Ovis aries: one gene and its partners. The protein of the gene in region 1 purifies or fractionates together with the protein of each later gene. This does not show direct contact. Links are inferred from orthologs where the notes say so. Each region holds a gene or a part of one and is shown in the gene's direction. Other genes may lie near its edges.

The links.
Region 2: the proteins of ENG (region 1) and TGFBR1 purify together in Homo sapiens (affinity purification with western blotting; 5 studies listed by BioGRID and IntAct, with this or other methods). This does not show direct contact. The link is inferred for Ovis aries from reciprocal best matches to the Homo sapiens genes ENG and TGFBR1.
Region 3: the proteins of ENG (region 1) and ACVRL1 purify together in Homo sapiens (affinity purification with western blotting; 3 studies listed by BioGRID and IntAct, with this or other methods). This does not show direct contact. The link is inferred for Ovis aries from reciprocal best matches to the Homo sapiens genes ENG and ACVRL1.
Region 4: the proteins of ENG (region 1) and TGFBR2 purify together in Homo sapiens (affinity purification with western blotting; 3 studies listed by BioGRID). This does not show direct contact. The link is inferred for Ovis aries from reciprocal best matches to the Homo sapiens genes ENG and TGFBR2.

The regions. Positions count from the first base shown.
Region 1 is NC_056056.1:8,359,073-8,367,108, forward strand, and holds the start of ENG (endoglin), read left to right. Parts: upstream 1-3,578; 5' UTR 3,579-3,944; coding exon 3,945-4,011; intron 4,012-8,036. UniProt on the Homo sapiens protein: Vascular endothelium glycoprotein that plays an important role in the regulation of angiogenesis. Required for normal structure and integrity of adult vasculature. Regulates the migration of vascular endothelial cells.
Region 2 is NC_056055.1:48,709,787-48,717,097, reverse strand, and holds part of TGFBR1 (TGF-beta receptor type-1), read left to right. Parts: intron 1-395; coding exon 396-526; intron 527-5,500; coding exon 5,501-5,626; 3' UTR 5,627-7,311. UniProt on the Homo sapiens protein: Transmembrane serine/threonine kinase forming with the TGF-beta type II serine/threonine kinase receptor, TGFBR2, the non-promiscuous receptor for the TGF-beta cytokines TGFB1, TGFB2 and TGFB3.
Region 3 is NC_056056.1:134,405,371-134,412,681, reverse strand, and holds part of ACVRL1 (serine/threonine-protein kinase receptor R3), read left to right. Parts: intron 1-650; exon of another isoform or gene 651-1,016; intron 1,017-1,585; coding exon 1,586-1,654; intron 1,655-2,200; coding exon 2,201-2,449; intron 2,450-2,634; coding exon 2,635-2,846; intron 2,847-3,095; coding exon 3,096-3,195; intron 3,196-3,553; coding exon 3,554-3,700; intron 3,701-3,983; coding exon 3,984-4,259; intron 4,260-4,979; coding exon 4,980-5,177; intron 5,178-7,311. UniProt on the Homo sapiens protein: Type I receptor for TGF-beta family ligands BMP9/GDF2 and BMP10 and important regulator of normal blood vessel development. On ligand binding, forms a receptor complex consisting of two type II and two type I transmembrane serine/threonine kinases.
Region 4 is NC_056072.1:5,220,374-5,227,684, forward strand, and holds part of TGFBR2 (TGF-beta receptor type-2), read left to right. Parts: exon of another isoform or gene 1-1,486; intron 1,487-2,452; coding exon 2,453-2,580; intron 2,581-5,306; coding exon 5,307-5,486; 3' UTR 5,487-7,311. UniProt on the Homo sapiens protein: Transmembrane serine/threonine kinase forming with the TGF-beta type I serine/threonine kinase receptor, TGFBR1, the non-promiscuous receptor for the TGF-beta cytokines TGFB1, TGFB2 and TGFB3.

The DNA.
Region 1 (8,036 bases):
ACTCTCCCTTGCCTGTGTCGGTCTGGTCCTACTGTTTTCAATAGTTCCTGGCTCCAGGCCGGTGCTGGAGACAGCCCGCCGCCTGGTGGGGGAGTCCCTGGGGGCCGCCTGAAATTCCTCTGGTGGCCTGCGGCCAGGGTAGACGTGCTCCATCCGCTCCTGCAGCCCCGGTCTTCCCGGCCAGCGGGGGAGAGGAAGGGGCACCTGCCCGTGGCGGGGGCCTGGCCCAGACGCCTGGCCATTGGCCGCCTGTCTCTTTGGCGTGTGGCTAGGCGGCACCTGAAAAACGTCTGTATCAGTCGGGGCCCCAGCAGGAAGCAGACGGCACGCTCCAGTGGGACAATTGGAGGAGAGCGGAGCGAAGGGTCTGTTGACACAGGTGTGGGCAGGGTGTAGGAGAGTCACGAGGGACAGTGCCGAAGCCCGGGGCTGGCAGTAGCCATGACCTGACTACCCACAGCCTGAAGGGCTGGGTGGAGAGGGCCAGGTCAGGGCTGTGGCCTCCGGAGCAGACAGGCCACCAATCTGCAGTGACCCTGCAGGTTCTGGCTCCTTCCTCTCTGAGCTGTGCAGGGCTGGCTTGGGGCTGGCGGGGGGGCTGGAGGAGGTACATGTGTCCCCTGGAATGGGGCGTGCATCTGGGGGGCAAAAAGGAGACCACTAACCCAAGGCTGCTCCCCACCTGCAGGACGGTGTCACAGTGACTGTGAGACTCCTTGGGGACAGGCAACCCGGCCCGGGGACTGGCCTCTGCCCCTGGGGACAGGAGCAAAGGCCTAACTCTCTGTGTCTCAGTTGCCCTATGCGTCCCCGGCTCCGCTCCTGCCTTACCTTCTGCAGAACTTCATGCTTTTAATCAGTGAGTCTTAAGGACCAGAAGGTCCTCCTGGGCTCTGTGCTGGGGAAGCAGTGGAGCAGAGACATCTAAGTCCCTGCCCTCGAGGGGCTGCTAGTCGAGCAGACTCACACAGCATGAGGCTGGCTGAGGGGTGGCGGCGTCAGGGTGCCATGGGAGCTTTGGGGTGAGTCCCTTCTCCAGCCCTGGGTGCCCCATCTTCCTCCCTCCACCGGGCCCCTGGGCTCAGGACTCTAGGCCCTCCTTAGGTTTTTCTCTCCCTGGAAGTCACAAACAAGCATGGCCTGGGTCCATCTAGGCCTCTCCCACTTTCTAGAGAAACCCAGTGGGTCTTGCTTACCGTGTGAGAGGGGATGGATTAGCAGCATGAGGGTGGATGGGAGGGCAGTGTTTTCTATTTTTTTAAAAAAAATATTTATTTATTTCACTGCATGGGGTCTTAGTTGCAGCACGTAGGATCCTGACCATGGATAGAACCCAGGCCCTCTGCATCGGGAACTTGGAGTCTTAGCCGCTGGGCCACCAGGAAAGTTCCCGGGAGGGAGGTTTGAGAGGAGCCTCCTGTGGGGTCCCCGTTATGGCCTCAGATGCCCCAACACCCATTCTGGATAACAATCCCCCTCACCTAGGGCCATCTGTCCTCTCCAAGTTCAGATGGGAGCAGATGGGAAGGAGCAGAGCTTGGAGCCAGGCAGCCCTGGGGTCTCCAACTGGGGTCACTCAAACCTCAGGGAGCCTCAGGTTCCTCCTGTGTCTCTGGAGTGACTGAGGGGATCCAGAGCTGACAGAGGAAGGCCTAGGGTGGGGCCTGAGAGAGGGAGAGTTCAGCTCCGGGGGGACTGGAGTAACTAACTGTCCCTGGGGCATGGACTCTGGTTGGGAGGGTGCCTGGGGAACTTCACAGGCACCCAACCTTCCCCCACTGGAGCCACCCTGTGCCTGGTGATGCCCACCTCCCCATCCCCGAGGCTGCAGGAAAAGGCCGAGGAACAGTCACTCTCGGGGGTCTCCCTCTGCTCTGTCACAGCCTTCCTGGCCTTTCTGGACTGGGATGGGTCTCCAGTGACCCAAGACCCGAGCCTGGCCGGGCATGGAACGCGCAGCCGCAGGGCTGGGCGAGCAAACCTTTCCCCACCTCCACCCAAGGAGCCACACCCGCCCTTCCTGCCCTGGGGGTCAGCTCCTACAGACACAAACACGTTCCACTCGCCCCCGGTTTATCCGGAGGCAGCCAGGGCTCCCACCTTCTCCTTCTTCCTTGGGCCTCGGTTTCTCCATCTGTGACCAGGACAAGTGTAAAGGGGAAAGCCCCTGGCTCTGTCCCCACTGTGGGACGGAAATTCGTCCTCTCCAAGCCCACTCTGCCAGCACCCCCTCTCCAGAACCCTCTGTGACTCCCGAGGCCTTCAGGATACAGTCCTGAAGGCCCCCCACTCCCTGGGACTTCCCTAGTGGTCCAGCGGTTAAGACTGTGCTCTCGATGCAGGAGTCCCGGGTTCGATCCCTGGCCAGAGAACTAGATTCCCACATGCTGCAACTAAAAGTCTCTCAAGCTGTAACTTGAAGATCCTTGCTGTAACAAAGACTGGAGTTTGGCATACTGCAGCTGAGAGCCGGTGCGGCTAAATTCAAGTAAAAACTGCCCCCTCTCCCAGAGCAAGGCCAGAGTCTGCCTCTCTAGGTCTCTTTTCCCCGCCACACCCCTGCCTGACCTGCGGCTGTCAGGCCACTTCTTGCCTCTGTGTCTTTGCTCAGGCTGGTGCCCAGCCTGACTCGCCCTCCGCACCCCTTTCTCCACCCCCTCACCGCAACTCGCCCAGACTCCACAGGCCAGACCTAAATGCTCCCTCCTCCAGGCAGCGGCTTCCTCCTCTGAACCTCCTGGGGCTGATCCTAAAGTGCTACCCGTGACTAGCACCAAGGCGGACATGTAGTTGGTGCTAACTGTTTGCAAATGAGCAAGGGACAGTTCTGGGACTGTCTCCCAGGCTCAGGGAGCGTGATGGGCAAGCCCTTTCTGAGTGCCGGGCCCAGAGCTCTGTGCTATGGCACCTGGACCTACGGAAATCTCGCAACCGCCTGGCGAGGAAAGCATTGTTGTACCTGCTTTATTTCCAGGGCGACTGTGTGGCAGTGGGCTTGTCCTCTGCGCTCTCTGGGCCCTGAGATCTCAGCCCCAGCTGCCGCGCTGTGCCAATTTTGGAGCATTGCTCCCCTATCCTGGGCCTCAGGCTCCCTGCTTACAAAACAAGGGAACGCCAGCCCAGTGTCGCACTTAGGGAAACCAGTGTTGGTGCCCGAGGAGACCTGTTCAAACTCCAGCTCCACCATCTTCTTGGGTCAGTGATCGCACCTCATCAAGCCTCTGTGCCCTCATCTACAAAACGGGGACAGCGAGTTCACAGAGCTGAATTCCCCGTGAAGTTCCAGGCCTTGGCCAGGCCTGGCCCCTGATGGTGCCCCTTGGTGGGCTGTTAGGATGGTTCTTTTCATCTGCCCCCCTGGGGCTGCCAGATGTACCCCACCAGCCAGCCGTTGGAGAGGGTGGGATGGGAGGGTGGGGTATGTGGGGAGACGAACCTGGAGCCTGGGTCCTCCCACCCCACTGCCTCCCCCCCAACAAACACCCCCGCCCCAGGGCCCCCCACCCAGCGACAAAGCCTGTGGCACTTCCTCTCTCTGCCTGGCAGGCCGCCTGGCCCGGCCCCTTCTCTAAGGAAGCGCATTTCCTGCCTCCCCGGGCCAGGCTGGATGAGCCGGAGCTCCCATAGCTGACGGTCAGACCCCAGCCTCCATCTGTATCCACAGGCCGGGACTGCTGCTGCCGCTACCACCATCCACAAAAGCCCTGCAGCCTCTCCCCGCTTAAAGCTGGGCCAGCAACCCCCCGGCCTGGCCCCACGCTCCCGTGCCCGCTTCTCCTGACCCCTCAGCCGCCACCTCAGAAGGCTGGAGCAGGGACGCCGTCGCTCCAGCTGCCTGCTGCCCTTGGGTCCCCGCGAGAGCCCACGCCGGCCCCCGCACCCGTCCGCAGCCCTGCCCCTGGACACCGGATAAGGCCCCGCACGCAGACCCCCGGAAGGACAGCATGGACCGCGGCGTGCTCTGCCAGGCCGTTGCCCTGCTGCTGGTCGTGTGCAGCCTCGGCCCCACAAGTAGGTGTCCAGGGACCCGGGTAGGGGGTGACTGGGCCCCCAGGGCACAGACCAGGCCCCGAGTGTTCCCGGCCTCCTCCCTCTGTCCCGACTCCTGCCCAGTGGAGCTGTCCTGGGGTCAGGGGGGTTCTGGACCACCCGAGACAGATGTCACAGGGTGACCAAACATCCCGGTTTGGCAGGATGAACTTTCCATCCTAAACGACTCGGGCAAACAGGGATGAGTTATTTACCTTAACTGGCCTCCAGCTACGTCCAGTTTCTCCCCAGGAAGCCCAGGTCCTAGAGTGCTGTTCAGCCCTTGGCGAGTCCCCTGCCCTCTCTGGGCCTTAAGTTCCTCATCTGAGGCATGGGTGGGACGGGAGGGTGCGCGGTCTCAGAGTCAGAACCTGGGCTCTGGGTTCAGATCTCACGTTGTGTTTCCTCGTGGTGTGATCTTGGGGGACTGCCTTCGGGCCGGTGAGCCGAGCAGAGGATGATAAGAGAAGCCCCCTCGGGGAAAGTCAGTGGCAAGCTGGTTTCTGTTTGTTGTGGTTTTATGATTACGTTCCTCCTCCTTCACCTTCCCTGGGGCCTGTGAGCGGCTCCTGGAATCCTTCCGACTGGGTGCTCCCTCCGCTTACACCCAAGAAGTGTGCGGAATGGGGGCTCAGCCCAGACTAGGGGTTCAGCCTGGGGGCTTCTCCAGGTGGTCATGGCCTCTGCGACCTTCTGAAATGACTAGATGAGAGTTAGCAAGGAGTCGGGGACCCTGGCCCCTCATGCCACTCTCCTTGGGCCTCTCTGTGCCCTGCCCCTCATTTATTTGAAGCCCCCAGATAGCCGTGTGGACACCCCCTCACCTCGGGCACATCCAGGACCTCCTTAAGGGATAGGGGTGGAGGGGTGAGAATGGGAACAGAAGCAATGATGATCACCCCCTCCCTACCCTACCCTGTCATTACTGTTATTTAGTCGCTCAGTCGTATCCAACTCTTTGCGACCACATGGACTATAGCCCACTAGGCTCCTCTGTCCACGGGATTTCTCCAGGCAAGAGTACTGGGGTGGATTGCCATTTCCTTCTCCAGGGGATCTTCCCCAGTCAGGGATCGAACCCGAGTCTCTTTCTGTCTCTTGCTTTGCAGGCAGGTTCTTTATCACTGAGCCATCAGGGAAGCCCCTAACTCCAGCCAAGGCATGTTAAGGTCTCTAGTCCTGGGTCTCTAAGCTCTTCCCACTGCTTCACTGACAATACAGGAAACCGAGTCTCAGACATTAAGTGAACCAGCAGGGTTTCGCCCCAGGCCTGTGGCTCCTTTGAGCACTTGCTCCTGATCAGGCAGTGATATGGCAGCCACTCTCCATAAGCTCCCAGTTATCTTCCAAGACGGCTGCCTCTATCACCCCATTTTACAGGAGGGGAAGTGGAGGCTCTGACCTGCTGAGTTCCACACAGTTCTGACAGAAGCTGTACCTGAACTCCACAATAGGCCCCCAGCCATCTTGCCTTTCTCCAGCCTCCCCCACTTTCTAGTTTGATAACACTCTCTTCCTCTAGGTCATCAGAGAAAGACCCTCGCAGCTCTTTAGGGTCGGGTTTTATAGGATGGAAGGCAGTGGTATGCTGGCAAATAGTCAACAGTGGTTTGGGAGAGGTGGGTGGGGGTGGGGGGTTGTTAATGTTTGTTAATATCCATGGTGTCAATGTTCCCACCCAGCTGATTTCAAGCTATCAGCTCAGCAGACTTGGAGTTGGGGCGGCTGCGCCATAATAAAGCTTTATCTACTATTTCCACCACCCAGATATGACAGACGTAGATAACCTTAAGAACACAGATAATATAAGGGGAATAAAATAATTAGGGTTTATGACTTTCGATACAATAGTATACATTTGAAATATATTACACATAAAATATGTGATTTATTTAATGATAAGCTTATAAAATTTAATTTTTAATTATGGCTATGTTTAAGAGCCAGTTGGAAAAACTCCTGATAACATATTAATCTGCTCCTGCTGGCAGGTGCTGGCACCCCAGCGGTCAAAATAAGACCAAAACAGGTCCCTGGATGAATCTAGCCTTCTGGGAACACAACCTGGCAGAATCTTTCAAAACCCGAACTTGTGTAACATCCTTGCCTTCAGAAGTCAGCCCCAAGGGCTTACTTGCCCGACTCAGTAAGGATGTATGGTCCATGGGTGCCTGTAACAAAAGCCAGGCAGTGTCCACCAGCCTGGACTCCATGACATGGCTGACTACGCACTGGAATCTCACATAGCAGTTACCAAGAAAAAGATATTCCCAGATCTACACTGTTGTGGACATCCGTCTGGGACACACTGTCAGATGCTCCTACAGTACTGACTCCAGTTCTATAAAATAGCAGAAACACATACTGTGAGCTTCCCAAGTGGCTCAGCCAGTAAAAAATACTGCCAGCCAATGCAGGAGACACAGCTGACTCAGGTTTGGTTCCTGGGTCGAAAGATCCCCTGGAGAAGGCAATGGCAACCCACTCCAGTACTCTTGCCTGGGAAATCCCAAGGACAGAGGAGCCTGGCGGGCTGCAGTCTGTGGGGTCCCAGAGTCAGACGTGACCAAGCACATATGTGACGTACCGTATGCACGAAGAAAACCCCAACGTCACTGCTCTTTAGCACCAGGCTCCTCTAGACGATCTTCACTTTCTAAAACACACTTTCCTGTCATGCTGGAATTTCTTCTAAGAGCAAATACGTATAGATTTTTTTAAAGCAATTTAACCATATATTCACTCGAGTCCGCTCCTCAAAGAAAATAGATGAGAGTGGGGGAAATGACCTCCCAGCTCCTTCTATTAATTTGGGCCTTGTTAGCATGCTGGTGTCTTTCTTACTGGCTATTGTCTAGCTTTTTAAGGTAATTTCAATGCAAGTGGATCAAATCTGGAAATCTTATGCACCCTTTTTATGTCCCAGAAGTTTTCTATGTTGTCGTGTGGACTCCATGATCATTCCACTGTGGTTCTAGAATATTCTCTCCCTTAAACGTGCCATCTCATCATTTCCCTAATGAATCCTTTGTTGTTGAATACTTAGGTGGTTTCCCCTTGGGGACCAGTTATAAATACCACTTCCAAGCACGTTTTTGGTACATGCATCTTTTCCTGTATTTTGGAGTATTTCACTTGGATAGAGTCCCAGAAGTGGAGGTGCTGGGGTTCGTGGCCCGTGCTGGGTGGCTGGAATCAAAGAGTGTTTCCTAAGTGTGGGTAAGTGCTTACTGAAAGACAGGGTAGAGGTGTGACTTGGAGTCCCCTGTGCTGCTGGCCACCTGTGTGAGAGTCTCCCCAGCCCTGACCCCTGAGAAGGGGCTAGGGATGCAGGACACAGCCTACAGATATCCATCCCTAGAGTGCATTCGGGGCAGCCTCTCGTTTGCCGGGAGGAAAGGTAGGTTGGAGCAGGAGCTGTGTGAACCAGGAGACAGGGGTTCCCTGGGACAGTGAGGGCAGGACCATTAATTGAGGTTCTCACTTTGGCCAGATAGTTGGTAACACTAAGCCCCAGAGAGAGAGAAAGAATCGATCTCAATTTCTCATGGGCACCACTAGGTCAGTGCTGGGCCCTCGGAGGACAAGCCTGGTCTATTTATTTGCTCAAGGGCCTAGTGAGGAATCAGGGTGAGCAGGAGGGACCACCTCTTCTGCGTCTCCAGTGTGTCAGGCTGCCTTTTGTCTCTATACCCAGATTACGGATGAGGAAATCAAGGCTCAGGACTAGTGACAGATCCAAGCTGTCTACTGAACTCAGCTTCTTTTCCTTGTACCATGGGTGGCCTGGGTGGCTGTGGGAGGCTTGGAACACTGATCACCCTGGTTCTGGAGCCCCTTCTTCTAGCTCCAGCCCCAGCTTTGGGGCATCAGCTCTGGAGGCTAAAGAGGACTCTCATCCAGGGCCAAACTGACTTTAATACCTGTGACAAAGGTGGAGATGAAGGCCAGACCACTGCTCTAGGCCTGTTATGTGTACTATCAGACTTAACCTGCACAAAAGCCCG
Region 2 (7,311 bases), on another chromosome or scaffold:
CTTGCCATGTAGGATCCACACCTTAGTGAGAGTGTACATCCCCTTGCCGCTGAGGCTGTGCACTTGCAGAATAAAGGCTTTCACTTCCCGCACCTTAGGGCTCTAGGAGAAAATGTCTATCTGGTCATCACAACTCATAGTTAACCATTATTAAAACAGCCTTTGCTGATTGTATTGCAGAATTTAGTTTCAAAGTGTGGGCTTAGTACTGACTCGAGGTGGGTTGTTGATGCAGACATGCATAAGAGAGCAGGCTGTTCCACTTACCTGTTTTAGTAATGGGACACTGTAACAGGATTTCCAGCTGTTCCTTTTCTGTCTGGTCAAAGATTGTTCTGACATTATCTGAGTAAACCTTTCAAAATAGGTTTTTTTAACATTCTTTACCAACGTAGGAATTCATGAAGATTACCAGTTGCCTTATTATGATCTTGTACCTTCCGATCCATCAGTTGAAGAAATGAGAAAAGTTGTTTGTGAACAGAAGTTAAGGCCAAATATTCCAAACAGATGGCAGAGCTGTGAAGTGAGTATTTATTTTGGATATTATACAGTTTTCTAAACTGCTTCTGGTTAGTATGTAGAAATTTGCTACTTTTATTTAAGGAAAACAGAAGAATTCCCATTCTTTTTTCATAGCTAATTATATCAATGAGTAAAAACAGAGTAATTTGGTTTTTATGTTCAATTTCAAGCACATTGCAAAGGCGATGGAACATTTTGAGTGGCCATCCGTTTATTAGAGCAGTGTTTAGATCTGCCAGTGAAACAAGGCTCCTGCATTTTAAACTAAAGCTTCCTGGCTTTCCCTGGTGGCTCCATGGTAAAGAATCCGCCTGTCACTGCAGTTAACACGGGTTCAATCCCTCATCTGGGAAGACCCCCACAGGCCACAGAGCAGCTGAACCCATGCACCACCACTTACTGAGCTCTAGAGCCCGGGGGCTGAAACTTACTGGAGCCCGAATGCCCTCAGAGCCTGTGGCTGCAACAAGAGAAGCCACCACAATGGGAAGTCCAAGTGCCACAACTAGAGAAAAGCCAGGGCAGCAATGAAGGCCCAGCACAGCCAAAAACTATATATATATATATATGTATATGTATATGTATATGTATATTTTAAAGCCACCTTTCAACCAGGGCAGCCCAGAACAGTGGGCTGTGTGCTGGCTGGAATCAGGAGGCCTATATTCTAGATCCTGGCTACCATATGTTTCAGAATCTGACTTTTGGCAAAGCACTTCAGTTCTTGGGACCTTAATATGCCTTTTTGTAAAATAAGGGATTTGGATGATTGTGAAGATGGTTCAGATGATTTTATATTTTATTCATTTCACTGCTCATATGACTATTCATCAGGAATTTGTGGAAACTGCTTTTCAGCAGTATCTGAGCTTTTCAACCCCAGCTCTTTACAAAAAGTTTTAGAAATACTTTTGTAGTTATACTTTTAAAGAATTTATAAGAAAAATGTTATTTATCCTTAATTGCTTTTACTAACGGAAGTAGAAGGTATTAAGAATACATAGAAAAACTGTACAGAAAAGGTTTTAATGACCCAGATAACCAGGATGGTGTGATCACTCACCTGGAGCTAGACATCCTGATGTGTGAAGTCACGTGGACCTTAGGAAGCATTAGTACAAACAAAGCTAGTGGAGGTGATGGAAAGCCTAAAAGATGATGGATGTTGTTAAAGTGCTGCACTCAGTGTGCCAGCAAATTTAGAAAACTTTTTGAGCAGTGGCCAAAGGACTGGAAAAGGTCAGTTTTCATTCCAGTCCCAAAGAAGGGCAATGCCAAAGAATGTTCAAATTACCACACAATTGCACTCTTTTCACATACTAGTAAGGTAATGCTCAAAATCCTTCAAGCTAGGCTTCAACAGTATGTGAAATGAGAACTTCCAGATGCACAAGTTGGATATAGAAAAGGCAGAGGAACCAGAGATCACATTGCCGACATCTGTTGGATCATAGAAAAAGCAAGGGAATTCCAAAAAACACTTCTGCTTCATTGACTACAGTAAAGCCTTTGACTGTGTGAATCACAACAAACTGGAAAATTCTGAAAGAGATAGGAATACCAGACCACCTTACCTGCCTCCTGAGAAACCTCTATGCAGTCAAGAAACAACACTTAGAACCAGACATGGAAACAGCAAACTGGTTTAAAATTAGGAAAGGAGTACGTCAAGGCTGTATACTGTCATCCTGCTTATTTAGCTTATGTGTAGAGCACATCATGTGAAACGCTGGGCTGGATGAACCTCAAGCTGGAATCAAGACTGCTGGGAGAAATACCAATAACCTCAGATAGGCAGATGATACCACCCTAATGACAGAAAGTGAAGAGGAACTAAAGAGCCTCTTGTTGAAGGTGAAAGAGGAGAGTGAAGAGGCTGGCTTAAAACTCAACATACAGAAAACTAAGATCATGCATCCAGGATCATCACTTCATGGCAAATAGGTGGGGAAAAAATGGAACAGTGAAAGACTATTTTCTTGGGCTCAAAAATCACTGAATGGTGACTGCAGTCATGAAATTAATAAAGATGCTTGCTCTTTGGAAGAAAAGCTATAACAAACCTAGACAACATATTTAAAACAGAGGTATCACTTTGCCAACACAGGTCTGTATAGTCAAAACTATGGTTTTTCCAGTAGTCATGTATGGATGTGAGAGTTGGACCATAGAAGCCTGAGTGCCTAAGAATTTATGGTTCCGAACTGTGGTGCTGAAGAGTCCCTTGGACAACAAGGAGATCAAACCAAGTCAACCCTAAAGGAAATCAACCCTGAATTTTCATTGGAAGGGCTGGTGCTGAAGCTCCAATACTTTGGCCACCTGATGTGAAGAGCTGACTCATTGGAAAAGACCCTGATGCTGGGAAAGATTGAGGGCAGGAGAAGCAGGTGACAGAGGATGCGATGGTTGGATGGCATCATTGACTCAATGGACATGAATTTGAGCAAACTCTGGGAGATAGTGAAGGACAGGGAAGCTTGGCGTGCTGCATTCCATGGAGTCAGAAAGAGTCAGACACAACTGAGTTAACAACCATTATTATGATACTATTATAATATTGGTAAAACAAAGCATTTCCCTTTGGAGTTGATGTTTTGTAGTATAGGAAGAATAAAAAGCTGTTCACTTAAGTAGTTTATTTTACATCTTAAAAGTAGGACACAACTGAAGCGACTTAGCAGCAGCAGACTTCATTAGATACTTGTGAGATCAAGAGAGTTCCTTGGCTGCCTCCAATGAAATCCAGTATGCAGGCCCAGACAAAATATATTGTGTGCTCACAGAACCTGCATGTTTAACAAATGAAATTGGCCTAGATTTTGTCTTTGAAAAATTTCATCTTGACACTACAAACTGGAATTATTCATGCACTCATTCAATAAGCAAATTAGAGCAAATTAATATTAAACAGATGGCTAATTAAGCATGAAGTTAGTAGTTAACATTAAAAACATACATGCAAGTTGCAATTACTGTCGCAGCATGTTGAATTAATGCCATCACTGTCATTTTAGATTTTCTCTCGATTTAGCTAGTTTTGTATCACTAACTTAATCTTTCACTTTTCTTGGGTTTTACAAATCTCCCCTCAGTAGCTGAAACACATTGAGAATTTGAAACTGATAGGATGCCTACGGAAGTGTTTTTCAGAGCCCTCTGACCTTTTCCAGTCTGAAAAGCCAGTCTGGCTCTAGGCCAGCTTTCATCTTGGGATATCCCTCACCTTTCACCTGTGATCTCTCTTGCCTCTTCTGTGGTGACTGCCTTTCTGAATCCCATGTCTTCACATTTCTTGGTTTGCTCATTTATCCCCCTCTTCCAGCTCTTTGCTCAGATGTTACCTTGTCAGTGAGACGTTACCTGTCAATCTATTTAAAATAGCACTTTCCCCCCCCCCTGGCATATTTTATCTCCTTCCCTAAATGATGTTTCTCCTCAGCACTTAGCACGGACAGTCCATGCATTCTGCTTATTTATTATATGCTCTAGCCCTCTATAACGTAAGCTTTATGAGAGCAGAAATGTCGTCTGTTAGTTCACTGCTGTGTCTGTTAGTGTATCCTACCAGATGCATGTAGGATGGCATCTGGATTATGGCACTCAGTTTGCTGGATGATTTTATGCATGTCCTGAACCCTTGGTCATTTTTACCTGAAAACAAATGTTCATTTCTAGGAAATTTTCCTCAAGTATTCCCTTCCATTTTCCGTTCTTTTTCTTCAACTCTGGTTATGAATGTAGACATCCTGAACAGGCATTCTGATTTTCTTGTGTTTTTCTTCCTATTACCCATCTCTTTGTTTTCTTTTCTCTACTTTCTGGGAAAGGAATCCGCCTATATCTTTTGGTCTTATTATTATCACTCAGGTTTATCTTGTGGTTTCATAAAACTTTCCCCAAACCAAACAAAACCCCAAAAAAGTATTGATAAGTCCAGTATCAGTAATCTCTGAAGATATTAATGATGGATTGTTGATATTGTCTTCTATACACCTTTTGGTTTTTCCAAGGTGTTGTTTTCTGTGTCAGTTTCTGCATTTCATATTACTTTCCTGAAATGTTTGATCAAGCTCATGCTCTGTATAAAAGCAGCACTGAAAGCTGATAGGAAGCTTTGTGCACGTGAATGGAGCTTATCTTCCACTGCAGTCTAAGGGTGAAGTAACTGGATTGCTTCCTTGGGGAACCACTGATGTCTCTCTTTAGGCTTTTCTTCTTGGGCTGAAGACTCTTCTGGTCTCTTACCTGGAGGACCATGTAAAGTCACTGGCCGTGTTCTGGGGAGAAAGTTTACTGTCTTAGCATTTAGTGTGTTGTCAGTGTGGAATTTTGCCCTTATTTCCCCAAGACGGGAATCTGTTCTGCTCTCTCAGATTGAAACCTCTTGTCTTCTGTTCGGATGGGGTGGGATGGTCACCCAGCTGTGTGAAGTTGGGGCAGGGCAGGTATCTGGGTTTCCAGCTTCTTTGGCTGATTCTATTTTTACCCTGAACTTCACCCCAGGGATACAGGATATAAGTTAATTCCTCAGTTTTGGGGGCCATTTCATGTGAGTCAGGTTCTCTTTGCTTTGCACAGCTCTTTTGAGGATTCAGGTTTCTCAGGCTGCCAAGTAAATCCTCCTTTGTCCATCTGCTTTCCAGCTGCTGGCACCAGTATCCTGCTGATGGGAATTTAGGTCATCTTTACTCATTTGCTATTACAAATAATGCTGAAACAGAAATACTTGTATGTCGTTTAAAAAGAAAATTTACAGGTAGATGAGATGGCTGGATGGCATCACCGACTCGATGGATGTGAGTTTGAGTGAACTCCGGGAGATGGTGATGGACAGGGAGGCCTGGCGTGCTGCGATTCATGGGGTTGCAAAGAGTCGGACACGACTGAGCAACTGAACTGAACTGAAAGATTATTATCCAGGTCGTTGAAACATGGTGCATGCATTAATGATCTTTCTTTTCTTTTCTTGTAGGCCTTGAGAGTAATGGCTAAAATTATGAGAGAATGTTGGTATGCCAATGGAGCAGCTAGGCTTACAGCTTTGCGGATTAAGAAAACATTGTCACAACTCAGTCAGCAAGAAGGCATCAAAATGTAAATTCTGTGGCTTTGCCTGAACTCTACTTCTTCTTCAGATCTGCTCCTGGGTTTTAATTTGGGAGGTCAGTTGTTCTACCTCACTGAGAGGGAACAGAAGGATATTGCTTCCTTTTATGACGATGTAACAAGGTGAACTAAAACATCCCAGGATTTCTTCAGACCCAGGAAACTGCCATGTGGGGTCCTTTCTGTGCACTATGAACGCTTCTTTCCCAGGACAGTTACAAAATGTTGTGTAGTCTACCTTTATTTTTTATTAACACAGAACTTGTTTTTTTAAATGATTGCTGGTCTTAACTTTAGGTAACTGCTGTGCTGAAGATCATCTTTAAGGGTAAAGGAGCTGGATGGCTGAGTTATATGAAACATTTCTTATTTTTAAAGAAAGTGATTTCTCCTGGTTAGTACATTCTCAGAGGATTCTGAACCACTAAAGAGTTTCTTTGATTTAGACTTTGAATGTACTGTTCTATAATTTTCAGGATCTTAAAACTAACACCTATAAACTCTTGAGTCTAAAAATGACCTCATATAGTAGTGAGGAACATAATTTATGCAATTGTATTTTGTATATTATTGTTCTTTCACATATTCAGAACATTACATGCCTTCAAAATGGGATTGTACTATACCAGTAAGTGCCACTTCTGTGTCTTTCTAATGGAAATGAGTAGAACTGCTTAAAGTCTCTCTGTGTGTTAAACCTGTCATGTTTTAATTCAAAAGTTTATTTACCTGGATAACCCAGACTTACTCTGTTTTGTTTTCTGGAAGAGTTTTTCTGGTATGTTCTTTGGTATTCCATTTTGAAAATGCCTTTCTCCTACCAAAATGTGCTTAAACCACTAAAGAAATGAAATGGCATTAATTGGTAAATGGTAATCATGGTCATAATTAAGTATTCTCATCCAGTTTTTGCATTTTAATTGTATTGTCTAAGTACACTTTAAAAAAATCAAGTGGCACTCTTGATGCTTATAGTACTTTAATAACTTAAAATCTGTAGCATACAGACAAATTTTTCTAAAAGGGAAAATTTGTCTAGCTGCTTGTGAAAAGTTGTGTGGCATTCTGTAAGCCATTTTTTTCTTTATCTGATCAAAGACAGTGTTATTTTTTTAAGAAATGAATTACGTTTAAAATTAGAATATGGTTAATGTTAAATAGGCTTTTTTCTAGGAAGGTAAAGGTAGTTGATAATTTGAATAGTAACAGGTATTTGAGAGTCACACCGTTGTGTAGGAGTCACTGTTCTGTGGACTTTGTCTTCGTAGCTAAGGTTAGAGTCAGTGTGGTTTTGAGGTCGCACTACACTTTGAGAAAGGCAGCTTCTAATTCAGTCTTTCCTTCTCTGTGCAGATATTGCAACTGCCTAATTTATATGGCTATGGAGTGAATTTGGTGCACCCTCAATATCTGGGAAGGTGATAGCTAAGGCATATTCCAAGGATAGATTCTCCATTTACAGATGTTTATGGTGAAATTAAGTGTTTAAAGCAAATCTGTCATGGCCTTCTCACATTAAGGTGAAAGTAGCTTATAATAACTGGTTTTACTTCCAGTGCTAAAAGTCTTTGCAGGATTTTTACAGTTTTTCAAAGTCCTCTTTATCACTGTGATCTTAATCTGAGGGAGGAAAGTCTATCATAGCTGTGAGGCAAGATGTCCTTATAGAGCTATCAA
Region 3 (7,311 bases), about 130 Mb from region 1:
CGTTTCCTCCCCCAGCCCTGGGCCTCTGGGGCAGAGGAAGCCCAGGCAGGAAGACCAGAGCTGCCACCAGCCAGTGAGGCCCACGAAGCACCCCCCACCCCCCAGTCATCCTGCCCTCAGAGTCTCAGCATCATGGATCTTCATTTGGCATCATTCTTAGACTAGGGGCCTTCTGCAGCCTATATGGCCCTATGCCAAGCCCTCCAGCCTTACCATGTTACCCCAGAAGACAGTTCTCTTTCCTCATGTCTGCTACCCCTACCTGGGCATTCTGTCCCCAGGCACACATCTGCTACTCTCCACCATTCAGAAAGTTCTTCTTGCTGTCTGATCTCAGTCCTTTTTGCTGCAGCCTCAGCCCTAATCTTTTCATTCTAAGCCTTTGAGAGATGAAGATGGAGGTCACTTCTGAAGCACTAGCCGGTCTGGGACTTGAGATGGGACTGTCATAGACCAGAATTACTCCCCTAATAATCCCCACCAAACTTTTGGAAAAATTCAATCTTAACCAACAACAGAAGGTCAAACATTCAATGTCTAAGTATGTTTCACTTCCCTTCCACATCACTGGCCCTACCCCCACTCTTTCCCAGGACCTCAAGGACAGAGAGAAGCAGGGGAGTGGCTCAGAGAGGACATCGTATAGTCTAATGAGGGTGCAGGGAGGTTCCTTAGAGACAGTGCGGCCTGGCACTGTCCAGGCTCGGTGTGGCTGATACAACTTCAGACATGGGCTGGCACCCCAGATTGGGATAAGGAGTAGAAGCAGCACTGGACTGGGCGTCTGGACACCTGGGTTGTACCCCTACCGCTGCCACTGAACCCCATTTGACCTTGGACAAGCCTCCTCTCCTGGCTGAGCCTTGACCCCCATCTTCTCTGAAATAAGGAACTGGGCTCTGTGATTCACAGGGTGAATGAGGATTCCGTCATGGGGGTGTCCCAGCCCCAGGTGGCTCCTGCAGACCCTGTAGCGACTCCAGCCTGCCCTGAGACCATGTCCTGAGCTCCCTGCTGTGCGTGACTCCTGCCTGTTCTATCCAGACCCCAATCTAAACAATCTTGATTCCTGTTCCCAGCTTGGCGGGACCCTGAATGGCAGGAAGTGAAGACAGGAGCCTGTTTATGTTTGAGGCAGCCAGGCCTGGGGTGGGGGGGGGGGAGCACTGGGAAAGGGGTGGGCAGGGGTGGAGGCTGGGAAGGGGTGGGCAAGGGACAGGGACAGACAGGGGTGGGGTATTGCTGAAGAGCTGCTCCTTCCACCCCAGCCCCACGCTCTCTGCGCCCTCCAGTCTGCACTCAGCGGCAGGACAGCTGGGAGTCCCCCAAGCTCTCACTCACTTAAACATGGCTCCCCACCCTTTACCCCTAACAGGATGGTTTCCATGGGGAAGTGAACCAGGACTTCCCCTGCAGGCCCCGCCCCAAAGCCAGACACAGGGAGGAGGCCTCCCTGCCTCCCCCCCAACAAAAAAAAAAATCTCCCAGCAATTTCCTCTGGGTGGGAGGGACCCACAGTCAGTGGCTGAAAACACTGAGGGTGATCACATTTCATAGATGTTATTGCACCCCTTCTCCTCTCCAGGGATCATGACCTTGAACCTTCCCAGGAGAAGGCTTCTGATGCTACTGATGGCCTTGGGCCTGACCCAGGGTGAGTACTGGGGAAGCAGGTAGGGAACAGGGGCCTGAGGGGATAAAGAAAGGGCTGTCTGGGCTCAGCTCTTGTTGGGCTGAGTCTGAGGAGCTGGGAGGAGAGGGACTGGGGAGACAGGGTTCAGTGAGACTGAGCTCTCAGCTACCCTAACCCTCCTGTGCTAGCTTCTTGATCCAAACCAATAGGCTGGAGCTCTTTCAGACTCCAGGGTGGGAACATGTGTATGGGGATTCAGACAGTGGGGCTGTTGGCAGAGGGGCCTGGTAGAGCTCTCAGCACTGGGGCTGGGGGCGTGCTGCGACTGGAACTTGGAGGAGAGGTCCAAGGATCAGGGAAGGGAGAGAAGCCTGGTTCTCACGGTGGCAGCTGCCCCTGGTGGGGATATGTCGCTAGAGGGAAGGCTGAGGATGAAACTAAAGGACTGGGACCTCAAAGGGCTGGTTTGAGAGCTCAGAAGGGAGGGGGCAGTTGGGCAGACTTAGGGGTTAGGCTCCTCCTGGAGAGCTGGGCCCAGAGTGGCTGAGCTTCTAGTGTGTCCCTCAGGTGACCCCTTGAAACCCTCTCGGGGCCCACTGGTGACCTGCACGTGTGAGAACCCACATTGCAAGGGGCCTACCTGCCAGGGGTCCTGGTGTACAGTTGTGCTGGTGTGGGAGGACGGACACCTCCGGGAATACCGGGGCTGCGGGAACATGCACCCAGAGGTCTGTAGGGCGCGCCCCACGGAGTTCGTCAACCACTACTGCTGCTACAGCCGCCTCTGCAACCACAACGTGTCCCTGGTGCTAGAAGGTACGTCCGGCTGCCCTGGAAACCCCTCCTGGGCTTCTCTGACTCTGCCCTCCCTGCCCTGCTTGCCTCTCAGGCTCTGGCCTGGGGGGTGGGGGAGGCAGGGCCCCGGGGTCTGACTGGCAGAGCGGAAGGTGGGGGGCATCCGGCCTGGTGGAAGCTGGGCCTCAGTATCCCTCTTCCGCCAGCCACCCAGACTCCTCCGGAGCAGCCGCAAGGAGATGACCAGCTGCCTCTGATCCTGGGCCCCGTGCTGGCCTTGCTAGTACTCGTAGTCCTGGGTGCCCTGGGCCTGTGGCATGTCCGGCGGAGGAAGGAGAAGCAGCGGGGCGCGAACAGTGAGCTGGGCGAGTCCAGCCTCATCCTGAAGCCGTCTGAGCAGGGGGACAGCATGTTGGGGGTGCGGGCCTGGGGGAACCTGGGACACCGGGTGGTGGGGGGTAGACAGGAGCCACAGAGTCAGAGGGGGCACAGAGTGGCAGGTGGCTGAGAAAGGCACGTGGCAGGCACTCAGATTTGGCTGGCACTGGGCGGGAGGGGTTTGTGAATGAGAAGTGTGGCGAGATGAGGCAGTGGGGCCCAGGCTGAGGACAGAGAAATGGATTTGGTGGGTGGGGCCTGCCCCTCAGTGGCCTCTCGGTACTCCCAGGACCTCCTGGACAGTAGCTGTACCACGGGCAGTGGCTCAGGGCTCCCGTTCCTGGTGCAGAGGACAGTGGCTCGACAGGTCGCCCTGGTGGAGTGTGTGGGTGAGCAGTGGGTGAGCTCAGGGGATGGGGACCAAGTGCTCCCACTGAGCTTGGAGGGGTGAGGGAGTCATAGGTGGGCCCAGGCCTGGGTCAGAACAGGAATTCTGCCAGTCAGGGAGGGAGTTGGAGACGGGGCAGTGCCTGATCCTTGGCCAGGAGCTGGGGTGGAACAAGAGGCAAATGGAGGTGGCCTGCCAGAGGCGCGTGGGTCTGAATTCAGTTAAACAGAATCTTCAGAGATTCTGCAGTTGGAGCCAGGGCAGCAATGGGAGGGGGGCCTCTTCTGAGGGTGACTGTGCCCAAGGGCTCTGTGTGTTCAGTATGTGACCCCCTCCCTCCTCTCTGGTTGCTGGATCAGGAAAGGGCCGCTACGGCGAGGTGTGGCGGGGCCTGTGGCATGGTGAGAGCGTAGCTGTCAAGATCTTCTCCTCCAGAGATGAACAGTCCTGGTTCCGGGAGACTGAGATCTACAACACGGTGCTGCTCAGACACGACAACATCCTAGGCAAGCGGGGATGGGGCAGGGAGCGCTGGGCCCAGCCCGGGGTTCTCGTTGCCCTGCCCCATCACCCGGCCTCTGGACACTGACCTAACCTTGAAGGACTCCCAGCTGCGCTCGGCCCCAGCTTCTGACTCCAGCTTCCTCTCTGCCCTAAGCCAGACCAGCCTCCACCCCATTCCCAGCTTTGCCCTGACCTCTCCATCCTGTCTCCCCAGCCCTGACCCTGACCGGTCCAGCCTCCTTCATCCCTAGCCCCGCGGTGAGCCACCTGATCCTCCGCCCACAGGCTTTATTGCCTCGGACATGACTTCCCGCAACTCGAGCACGCAGCTGTGGCTCATCACGCACTACCACGAGCACGGCTCGCTCTACGACTTTCTGCAGAGGCAGACACTGGAGCCTCAGCTGGCCCTGAAGCTAGCCGTGTCCGCGGCCTGCGGCCTGGCGCACCTGCACGTGGAGATCTTCGGCACGCAGGGCAAACCGGCCATCGCGCACCGCGACCTCAAGAGCCGCAACGTGCTGGTCAAGAGCAACCTGCAGTGCTGCATCGCCGACCTGGGTGAGCGCGGAGGGCGGGCCTCTGACCGGCGTGGAGTCCGAGCGCCCGCCCTCTCCACGCGGTTCTGCCTTCGCCTGTTTGGATGCCTGGCTTCAGTGGCCTGACTGGCCGAATTAAAACTCACAGGGGTGTGGGGGTGTGTGTATACACACTGGCGCTTTAAAACTTACAGATGTGTGTATGTTCTCATCTCACCTCCTGTGTGTGTGTGTGTGTACACTGATTGGCACTTTAAAACTTACAGGCATGTGTGTGTGTGTGTGTTCTCGTCTCACCTCCACAAGAACCCCACACCCCACCAGCGGCCTTAACAGTATTTTCAAGCCCAGACTCCTTCCACCACTTCAGCCAGGCTCCAGGTGTGGGGAGAAAGGGGCAGGGAGCCAGCAACCTGGGTTCTCATCCCGGCTTTGCTGAGCACATTGCTCGCTGTCACCGTGCGCTGGGATTCAGTTCTGAAATATATGCCTGCCTTGCCTACTCGCATCTCACCGGATCCCTGCGCCTAGAGAGCGCCACGCAGGCCAAGTATGACAGGGACAGTTATTCTCCCTGTGGCTGCTGGCTCCCAGCCCAGCTCAGGGCGGTCTCCAGTTGCCGGCCCCTCTGTGTCCTGCCGTCTGTCGCCCTCTCACCTCACGCCGGGATTCCAGCCTCCCCAGGGCCACCCTGTCTGTGGGCCCGGGTGAGCAGCGGCAGTGACAGGCCCGGTGCCCACAGGCCTGGCTGTGATGCACTCCCAGGGTAGTGATTACCTGGACATTGGCAACAACCCGCGAGTGGGCACCAAGCGGTACATGGCCCCCGAGGTGCTGGAAGAGCAGATCCGAACCGACTGCTTCGAATCCTACAAGTGGACGGACATCTGGGCCTTTGGCCTGGTGCTGTGGGAGATCACCCGCCGGACCATTGTCAACGGTGAGCCTCCGGCACCCCCCTGCACAGGGTGGGACAGGGGAACAGGGCCGGAGGATACCCAGGCAGACAGGTGGGAGGCAGGGCTTCCTGTCTCCGCCGGCCAGTGGCCTGAGGGGCTTGTGGTCAGGCCTTCCAAATTCCCTTTCCTGTCACTCACCAGCTGGCTCAGCTGAGCGACCTTTGCAGGTTCATCTGAGTCTGATTCTGGCTGCGAAATCTCGGGTAATTGGTAACAACAGAAATATTAATAACAGCTAACATTTATTGAGTTTCAGTACGTGCCAGATGTCATGCTGTGTACATGTATTATCCTACTGAATTGTCCTGTGTTGGCAGGGAGGTGGTATGCTTCAGTGGTTAAGAGCAACGGAGGGAAATCAGACTAAGTTCAGTGCCTGATTTTTGCCATGTGTGAAGTACTTTACTTTTCTGTGCCTCAGTTTCCTCATTTGTAAAATGAGAAGAAAAATAATTTCCAGCTGTTGAGATAATCCAAATAAGGTAATCAGGGCAGTATCTGGAACTGTAGTGGAGTTCAGTAAATATTGGTGGCAATTGTCGTAATGACAAATGCGTGACAGAGCAGCACCCCCATTTTACAGGTTGGGGGACTGAGGCACAGAGTCACAGCTGGCTAGCGGCAGCACTGGGGTCTGAAACCAGGCACTTTGACTCTTCGGACCAGTGCTCTTTATTACTGAGCTACTTCCACCTCTTTGGTCCTTGTTCCCTCAGAAATGCAGGATGTAATAGTGCCTGCACTTCCTGCTTATTGATGCCTTACTATTATTATTACTATTTTTCGCTGCACCGTGCGGCATGCAGTATCTTAGTTCCCTGACCAGAGATCGAACCAGTGCCCCCTGCACTGAGAGTGGAGTCTTAACCACTGGACCACCAAGGAAGTCCCTCCTGCCTCATTATTACCACGGGTGCTACAGAGAACCGAAGCTCGGAGAGGAGCAGGCACAGGGACCTCATTCTTCACGGTCCCATAGAGGGCCTGCCCTGTGGCTGGTGCCTTCCCAGTCTTGGGGTGGATGGGTGCTGGGTGGTGCTCTGGACCAGGTAGGGAGGCTGGTCAGTCTTTGTGGAGGCTGTCCACGGAGAGGGGCTGCCAGGAGTCTTGACAGGTTGAGGACCACCCTCTTGCTGGGCTCAGGTTCAGACACAAACTCCAGAGGCTGGGGCTGGTAAAGGGGGCACCTGGAAGCAACCGAGGCCCCTCGGACCCAGCCACAGGCAGGAAAGGAAGGCTGGACCAGCCTGGGCTGAAGAGGAGGCTGATTGCAGACTCCTGGGGAGGAGGGAAGCTCTGTCAGCTCCACACAGATTCGCGGCGCATTATAAACACTGTAATCTGGTGTCAGCCCCGGCGCTGATTAAAGGCCCATTAGACACGCTCAGGCCTCTGCGCAGCACTGATTAGGGCTCAAGCAGCACGGGGGCCGGCCTGGACGCCCGCCACGGGGAGCACAGCTGGCTCGGGCTCTCCTGAGGCTGTGGCTGTTCTGTGTGGCTGCAGCCCCCAGCCTCGGGCTGGAAGAAGGGTGGGGCCTAAGGTGCTTTTCTGGGGTCTGGCCTCTTCTGCCTCAGTGACTGCCGCTCCACCAGCATCATCTTCAGAAAGATCCTGCTCAGGATGGCACACTTGGGATGATGAGGGGAGGGGTTACTGCTGGCTGAGGGGGTCAGCAGAGGCCTGTGCCACCCCTGAGAGTGAGTGGATGTGATCTGGACCTGGGTAAATCTCCTTCCCTTCGAAGATGTGTTTTCTTCCCCTTCTCCTCATTCTATATCCTTACCCAGCAGTCTGCCCCCCTCCCTCAAGTGTAGCTTGGAGGTCAAGAGCATGGGCTTTGGTAAGACTTCCTGGGCTTAACTCCTAGCTCTGTCACTTACTATCTGTGTGATTTTAGACAAGCTTCTTAACCTCTCTGGCCTGAATCTGGCCTGAATTTCAGAGAGAGAGAGAGAGAGAGAGAGAGAGAGAGAGAGTGAGTGAGTGAGTGTGTGTGTGTGTGTGTGTGTGTGTGTGTTAAGTTGCTTCAGTCCTGTCCGGCTCTTTGCGACTCCATGGACTGTAGCCTGCTGGGCTCCTCTGTCCGTGGGGTTCTCCAGGCAAGAATACTGG
Region 4 (7,311 bases), on another chromosome or scaffold:
CAGTTAAACAAGAAAAAAAGAGGCATCCAAATAAGTAGAGAAGAAATTGTCACCATTTGCAGATGACATGATATTATATGTAGAAAACCCTAAAGATACCACCAAAAATCTAATGGGACTAATGAATGAATTCAGTTAAGTTGCAGGATGCAGGATTAATGTATAGAAATCTGTTGCATTTCTAAACGCTAATGATGAACTATTGGAAAGAGAAATTAAGAAAACAATCTGATTTACAATCAAATAAGAATAAAATACCTAGGGATTAATTTAACCAAGGGTAGAAGACTACCTGTACTCTAAACACTATAAGACATTGAATAAGGGTAAATGGAAAGATATCCCATGTTCATGGAATAAAAGATTAATATTGTTAAAATGTTCATAATATTCAAAGCAGTCTGCAGATTTAATGTAATCCCTATCAAAATACCCATGACATTTTTCACAGAACTAGAACAAAATAATCCTAAAATGTGTATGGAACTACCAAAGACCCCAAATAGCCAAAGTAATCTTGAGAGAAAAAGAACAAAACTGGAAGAATCATGCTCCCTGACTTCAGACTGTACTACAAAGCAGCTGTACTACAAAGCAGCAGTAATCAAAATGGTGTGGTACAGGCACAAAAATAGACATGGAGACCAATGGAACAGAATAGAGGGCCCAGAAATAATCCCACGCACCTGTGGTCAACTACCCTGCAACACGGGGCAAGGATATACAACGGAGAGAAGCCATTCTCTTCAGTAAGTGGTGCTGGGAAAGCTGGACAGTTACGCACGAAAGAGTGAAATGACAGTTTTTCATACTACATGCAAAAAAGTATGTGTGTGTACACACACACACACACACACACACACACAATGGAATATTAGCCATAAAAGAGAATGAAATTTTGCCATTTGTAATGACATGGATGGAGCTAGAGGATATTATGCTTAGTGAAATAAGGCGGACAGAGAAAGACAAATACTGCTTGATTTCACTTAAATATGAAATCTACAGAATGAAATAAGAGGCAGATAAACTGCCACTCATTGCCAGCAGGGTGGGGGCTGAGGGGAGGGGAAATGGGTGAGGGTGATTAAGAGATACAGACTACTAGGAATGAGATAGGTAAGTTACAAGGGTACAGTGGACAGCATAGAAAACACAGCTGTCTTTACAACTTTATAAGAGCACAGCCTATAAAAACACTGAGTTACTATGTTGTATACCTGAAACCGATACGATGTGGTCCGCCTGCCAGTCAAGGAGATCTAAAAGACGCAGGTTCTATCCCTGGGTCGGGAAGATCCCCTGGAGTCGGAAATGGCAAACCACTCCAGTATCCTTGCCTGGAAAATGCCATGGACAGAGAAGCCTGGTGGGCTCCAGTCCATGGGGTCACAAAGAGATGGACGTGACTGAGCAACTGTACTTCAATTGGAAAAAATTAGAAGGAAATAAGTGACATGAATTTCCCTTAAAAAAAGAAAAGAAATGGACCTTATTGAAACCTGAAACTCTGATGAAGGGTTTACATCATCCTTCATTATTTTCTTTTTAGCGAGTACCACTGAAGGAAAATTACATTTTAGAATTGTGTTTGTTATCAATCTCTCTCCCCTGTCAGCTAACTAAAACAGCATTTCTGAACCTCTTTTTCATTATTACTATTGAAAGGAGCCTTTGTAGACTTCTTTTTTTTTCGTAATCACTACTCCCCACAACTTTTTATTCCTGTGGGAAAATATACATGATACAAAATTCACCAGTTTAGCCATTTTTAACTGTTTACGATTTTTTAAAAAGTGGTGCAGTTGGGTAGCATTAAGTCCATTCACAATGTTGTGTAATCATCATCATCATCCATTTCCAGAACTTTTCCATCTTCCCCAGCTGAAAAGCTGTACTAGTGAACAGTCTCTCCATCCCCCAACCACCTCTCTTCTCCTCTCTGCCTCTGTGAAGTAGCCTATTCTAGGTACCTTACATAAGGGGGACCATACAATATTTGTCGTTTAATGTCTGGCTTACTTCATTTGGCACAATCTGTGTTGCAGCATCTATCAGTTTCATTCCGTTTTTATATGGCTGAATCTCTGCAGGAAATTTAATACCACATGTTAAATCTATTTATGTGCTGCAGACCTTTGTAGGGCCACGAACCTTTGTAATACGGAAGGCTTTTCTACCTCCCAGGGACCATGATCCTTAAAGCCCGTATCCCCTGACCTGGTTGATCTTGTTCTCGGATCTGTCTCCAGTTGTTAGCACTTCATGGTCACTGAACAGTCAGTCATGTGTTGACGACTTCAAGGTCCTTCTATGACCCCTCCTTATAATTTTATTAATCGATTAGAATTAAAAACCACCCCCAGCGTAATCACAGGCGAGTCCTGACAGTCAGTATCCCAGCTGTGCACGCCCCTCTCAAGGCCCTGTGTCCGCCTGCTCTCTCCAACAGAAGTGAAGGACTACGAGCCTCCGTTCGGGTCTAAGGTGCGGGAGCATCCCTGCGTGGAGAGCATGAAGGACAGCGTGCTAAGAGACCGGGGCCGGCCAGAGATCCCCAGCTCCTGGCTCAACCACCAGGTGAGGGGGGGCCGTGGTATTCACCCAGAGGGAGAGGGACAGCTCAGGCAGCAGAGAAGTCCAGGCGGCTGGGCACCAATCTGATGTGTTCCGTGTTTCTGCTTGGTTTTCTTCATAAAGGAGTTTCAGTAAAAAGGGATGACCTTGTTACTGTATGTCCCACCACAAGTAAGAAAGGGCTCAAACACAACGTGTGACGGGCACCTGTCATATTGTCCAAGACCCCTTGGTTCTGAACTAAAAGATTGTGTTTACAGCCTCTGCCACTCATCCTTTCCATAGGGAGTTTGTGTTTTGCTGTCTTCTGGGTTCCAAATGTTTTCTTCTGGGAGCCTTCAACATTGGCAGGAACTACTTGTGAGAAAGAAGGGGACTGTCCGCCAGCTGGCCTGTGAGGGGCTGCTGTGTGCTCAGGCCGCTGCAGGCCTCTCAGGGAGGAGGCCGGGATGAAGAAAGGCAAAGAAGAGCAGAGGGCAGGGGAACAAACAGGAAATCTGTCTTTCCAGAATCTCCTGACAGGCGGTGGATGCGGCCGTCCGTCCGCAGCAGATTCTTTGCTCTGGGGGCATTTTGATGGGGCAGCAGAGGGGGAGGAGGACCCGTGGGCTGCGGGAGCCGGGACGGTCTGGCACAGCAGGGAGGAGCTCTGGACCACAGCCCCGTGCTCCCAGCTCACGACACCCTGTCTTTTCCATTGACGTAAACCTTTTATGGCTGCCTTTGGATGAATTCCCTCACCCAGGGAGGGCTGGGCTAAGTCCTAGGTTTCCTAAGGGTAAGGCAAATGCAGATGAGAAGCCGAAACCACAGGTCAGGCGTGGCCAAGGAGACAGATGGAGCAGGAAGCCTGTGTGTACCCGCCTGGCTGAGAGCCGCTTCAGTGGGCAGGCCCGCTGACATCAGGGAGAGCCTGCACCAGGCCATGGACCCTACCGTGGGGGCCCAAGGTTTCTCCCCGGCTTTCAGCAGAGCCTCTTTGACTTTGAAAATGCAAAGCTGTTTTGTGTTCACTCTAAACTCAGAAGGTGCGATACTGTTTCCTTCAGCTCTGTTGCCTCCTCTGCCATACAGTTCTTATAATGAATAGCCATTATTTATGATGGTAAAATTCTGGAAAGAATTTGCATAATACATTTTTCCTCTTAATGAGATTTGTTGCCCTATTGATTTCAAGTTAATGCTTAATATTTAATTTAATTTACTGCCTGTAATTACAGTGCCAGAATAAAATAAATGTTACTTGTGTACCAATAATAACACTCCACTCTTAACAGGGCCATCAATCAATACCATCAATTAGGGGAATTATACAATTAATCCAACATCATGGGCTCACTCATGGGGCAGGAAGGGAGGGCAGGTGCTGGGTGTGGGGTGCTGTTGCTCAGACTGCAGACAGGCAGGTGCTGCTCTCAGGGAAGGGCTGGGATAGATGCATCCCCTGGGCCACCCGTGTGCGCGCTCACCAGTGGCAGGGCCGGGCCTCTGAGAGGCAGAGTCTGTTTCCACTCTTTGGGCTACATAATTAGTCCATGTCTGCCTTATTTCCAAAAAACAACTTGAACTAACAAAAGCATTTGCAAAATGAGAGTTAAAGCCACGAGAGAGACCGTGGTTGTCTGTTGTGGACAACATTTTCTGGATGGGCCTTTCTGAGTGGGGCCTTCAGGGGGTTAGGTCAAGACCCCTGATACAGCCTGCAGGACATACGAAGACAGCTGTTTCCCAGGGTCCAGGCTGAAGCTGGAGAGGAAGGGCCGAGCAGAGGGTGTCCTTGAAACTGTTGGAAGATGGGCTTGGATCCTTACAAAGCATGTGGGCTTGACTAATGTAACCAGACTCATGCCCACATGTCCCTCCAGCTGGGATAGTCAGTCCTGTTTAAATAGGAATGCGGGTGGCTCAGATGGTAAAGAATCCGCCTACAGTGCAGGAGCCCTGGGTTCGATCCCTGGGTCGGGAAGATCCCCTGGAGAAGGGCACGGCAACCCACTCCAGTATTCTCCAGTATTCTTGCCTGGAGAATCCCCAAGGACAGAGGAGCCTGTCGGGCTACAGTCCATGGGGTCGCAGAGTTGGACACGACTGAGTGACTAACACACACATGTGATTCCAGCTCTGACTCTCTGGAAACTGTCTCATTGAGACAGTTAAGAGGTCAGTGGTTGTTGGGGGCTCGAAAAAGGAAGGAGGGCCGAGGAGGCACACGCAGAGGATGTTCAGGGCAGTGACCTTGTGAGGGCTGTAATGATGGACGCTTGTCAGAACCCTGATCCTGTACCTCACCATGAACCTCACTCTGGCTGACTCTGGTCAACAGTGATGTGTTAGTGTTGCTTTACTGGCTTTAACAAATGCCTCACACAGATGTAGCGTGTTGATGGTGGGGGAGGCGGTCTGCGTGGGGGGAGGGGCTAGATGGTATGGAAATTTTGCTGTGAACCTAAAGCTTCCCTCAATAGTAAAGCCTGTTACTGCACCCCCGCTCCCCAGAAGAGAGAGGTGGGAAATGGCAGTGCAAGCCCACTTCTTGGGAATTTTCACGAACGGGTATGCTGCTGTCCCCAGAAGCCTGCTGGGGACCTGAGCCTCTCTATCTGTGTCTCTGCTTCCCCGCTTCCTGTGAGCGGGAGACCCCGAGTGCTGCGGTCAGATGGCGCCGGGGGCTCCCCGCCCCAGGAGCTGCCACCCCCTCTCAGGGGCCTGTGGACCCTCTCCCCCTGCAGGGCATCCAGACGGTGTGCGAGACGCTGGCCGAGTGCTGGGACCACGACCCCGAGGCCCGGCTCACGGCGCAGTGCGTGGCCGAGCGCTTCAGCGAGCTGGAGCACCTGGACAGGCTCTCGGGGAGGAGCAGCTCGGAGGAGAAGATCCCCGAAGACGGCTCCCTCAACACTACCAAATAGCTCTTCCCGCGGCCGGCCCAGCCCGGCCGCCCTGTGGCCAAAGAGCAGGGTCAGCAGGAAGCTGCCCCTGACGATGCTTCCTGGAACCCGGGGTGCTCCCTCCCCCGAGCTGGGAGGGGGTGGCAGGAAGCAGCCTCTGCCTTTGACGTTGTCATAGGATAAGCTGTGTTAGCACTTCCTCAGGAAATGAGATTGATCTTACAATAGCCAATAACATTTGCACTTTATTAATGCCTGTATATAAATATGAAATAGCTATGTTTATATATATCTATATATGTCTATATATACACAGCCATACTAGTGGAAAGAGGTGAGGACAGAGATCACACGTGTCCAGACGTGGGCTGGATGGGCAGCCTCAGCACTTGGTGGCACGCATGTGCTGGGCTCAGGGCACAGGGGGAGGGGGTCTCTGCCTTCAGAGAGAGGCAGCCTGCTGTGCCAACATTGCACTTGCTTTTGCAACGTAGTAACTCCCTGCACCGGGTCCTGTTCTGGCTGTGGAGCCAGTCGGAGCCGCACTGTCTGGGGACCAGACCCCGAGGCCCCCACGTCCCATCATCTCTCCTGGACTCGGCACTGAGCTTCACACCCGCGTCTGGTTTGTGAACCGCCTTCCTCAGCTAGCTCTGAAAGTCTCATTGCGTTAACGTTTTAAGTCCCATCTTTTACCTCCACAAGCTACAGAAAAATCAGAACATGTTTCCCTACCCGTGAAATTGCCACACCTTGTACTGAGAAAGTGTTCTTTTTAAAAAAGTCCCCCCCCAACCTATGTTACTGTTCCCCATTTCCTAAAAGGGAACAGATCTCCCTTCCAGGTTCTTTATGTTCAGTTTTTCATCACGCTTGGTTTCTGTCTTCCGCTTGCTATGCATCACTGGTAGGTCTCAGGCTCCAGGGGGCTTGAGCACGTTTTGGCCGCATGGACAGTATTGAAGCAGCATGGTGCTGCGACAGTCAGGACTGTCTCTCCAGGCGCTCGGAACGTGTGTTTTGCTTGGCCAGCACAGTGTTTAACAAAATTGAGCCACTTTTTAAATATCTGGAGATTTTGCAAAAAAATCTGGGATCCCCGAGTGAGACTAGATAGCAGACAGCTTACAGTTCTCACTGTCCCACATCATTCACAGATGAAGGTGTAGACACACTTAGAAAGCTGCTCTCTCCCCCTGTTCTCACCCTAGTTTGGGAATTAAACCTTCTTTCCCCAGCCAAGGTTCCCTGCAAGAAATGTGCATTCACGCAACCATTCTCTGGCTAATAGAGTGTGGTTTTGATTCCCTTCCTGGGGTTAAAATTTGAAGTTGGCCTTTTTTTTCTGGAGTGACAAGGACTGCCTCTGGATGGTCCCTGTTAACCCAAATCTCTTTTGCTTGTATGTTAAGAGTGTTCCCCTCTGCATTCAAGGGGGGAGACCTTTACTCCAAGAAGTTGTTGTCATGGTTACCAGTCTCTTAGTCTCTTACCCACCTTCCCAGTGTTTGCAGAATTTGAATGTGGGATGCAGGAGTCCCATCTGCAGTTAGGAAATCTGTGTCCATGTGGGTAAGAACCAAGAATGAGCTTTAATCCTCCATAGGAAACTTGGTAATCCACAAACAGGTGTTAATGCTGCAAATAAGCTCTTTTGTAAAAATGATTTGAAGCTTGTTTTCAGCCGAATAGGTAGGAATATTGGAGAGGGACTGGCAATGATCAGATCAGCTCTGCTTGGGTTTTGGAAGCCACATCTCGTTGGGGTTTTAGCAGACACGCTGAAGTTGGGATTAGGTGGAATTTTTAGGAACCCTTCTTGGTTCAGGTGGACTGACAGAGATAA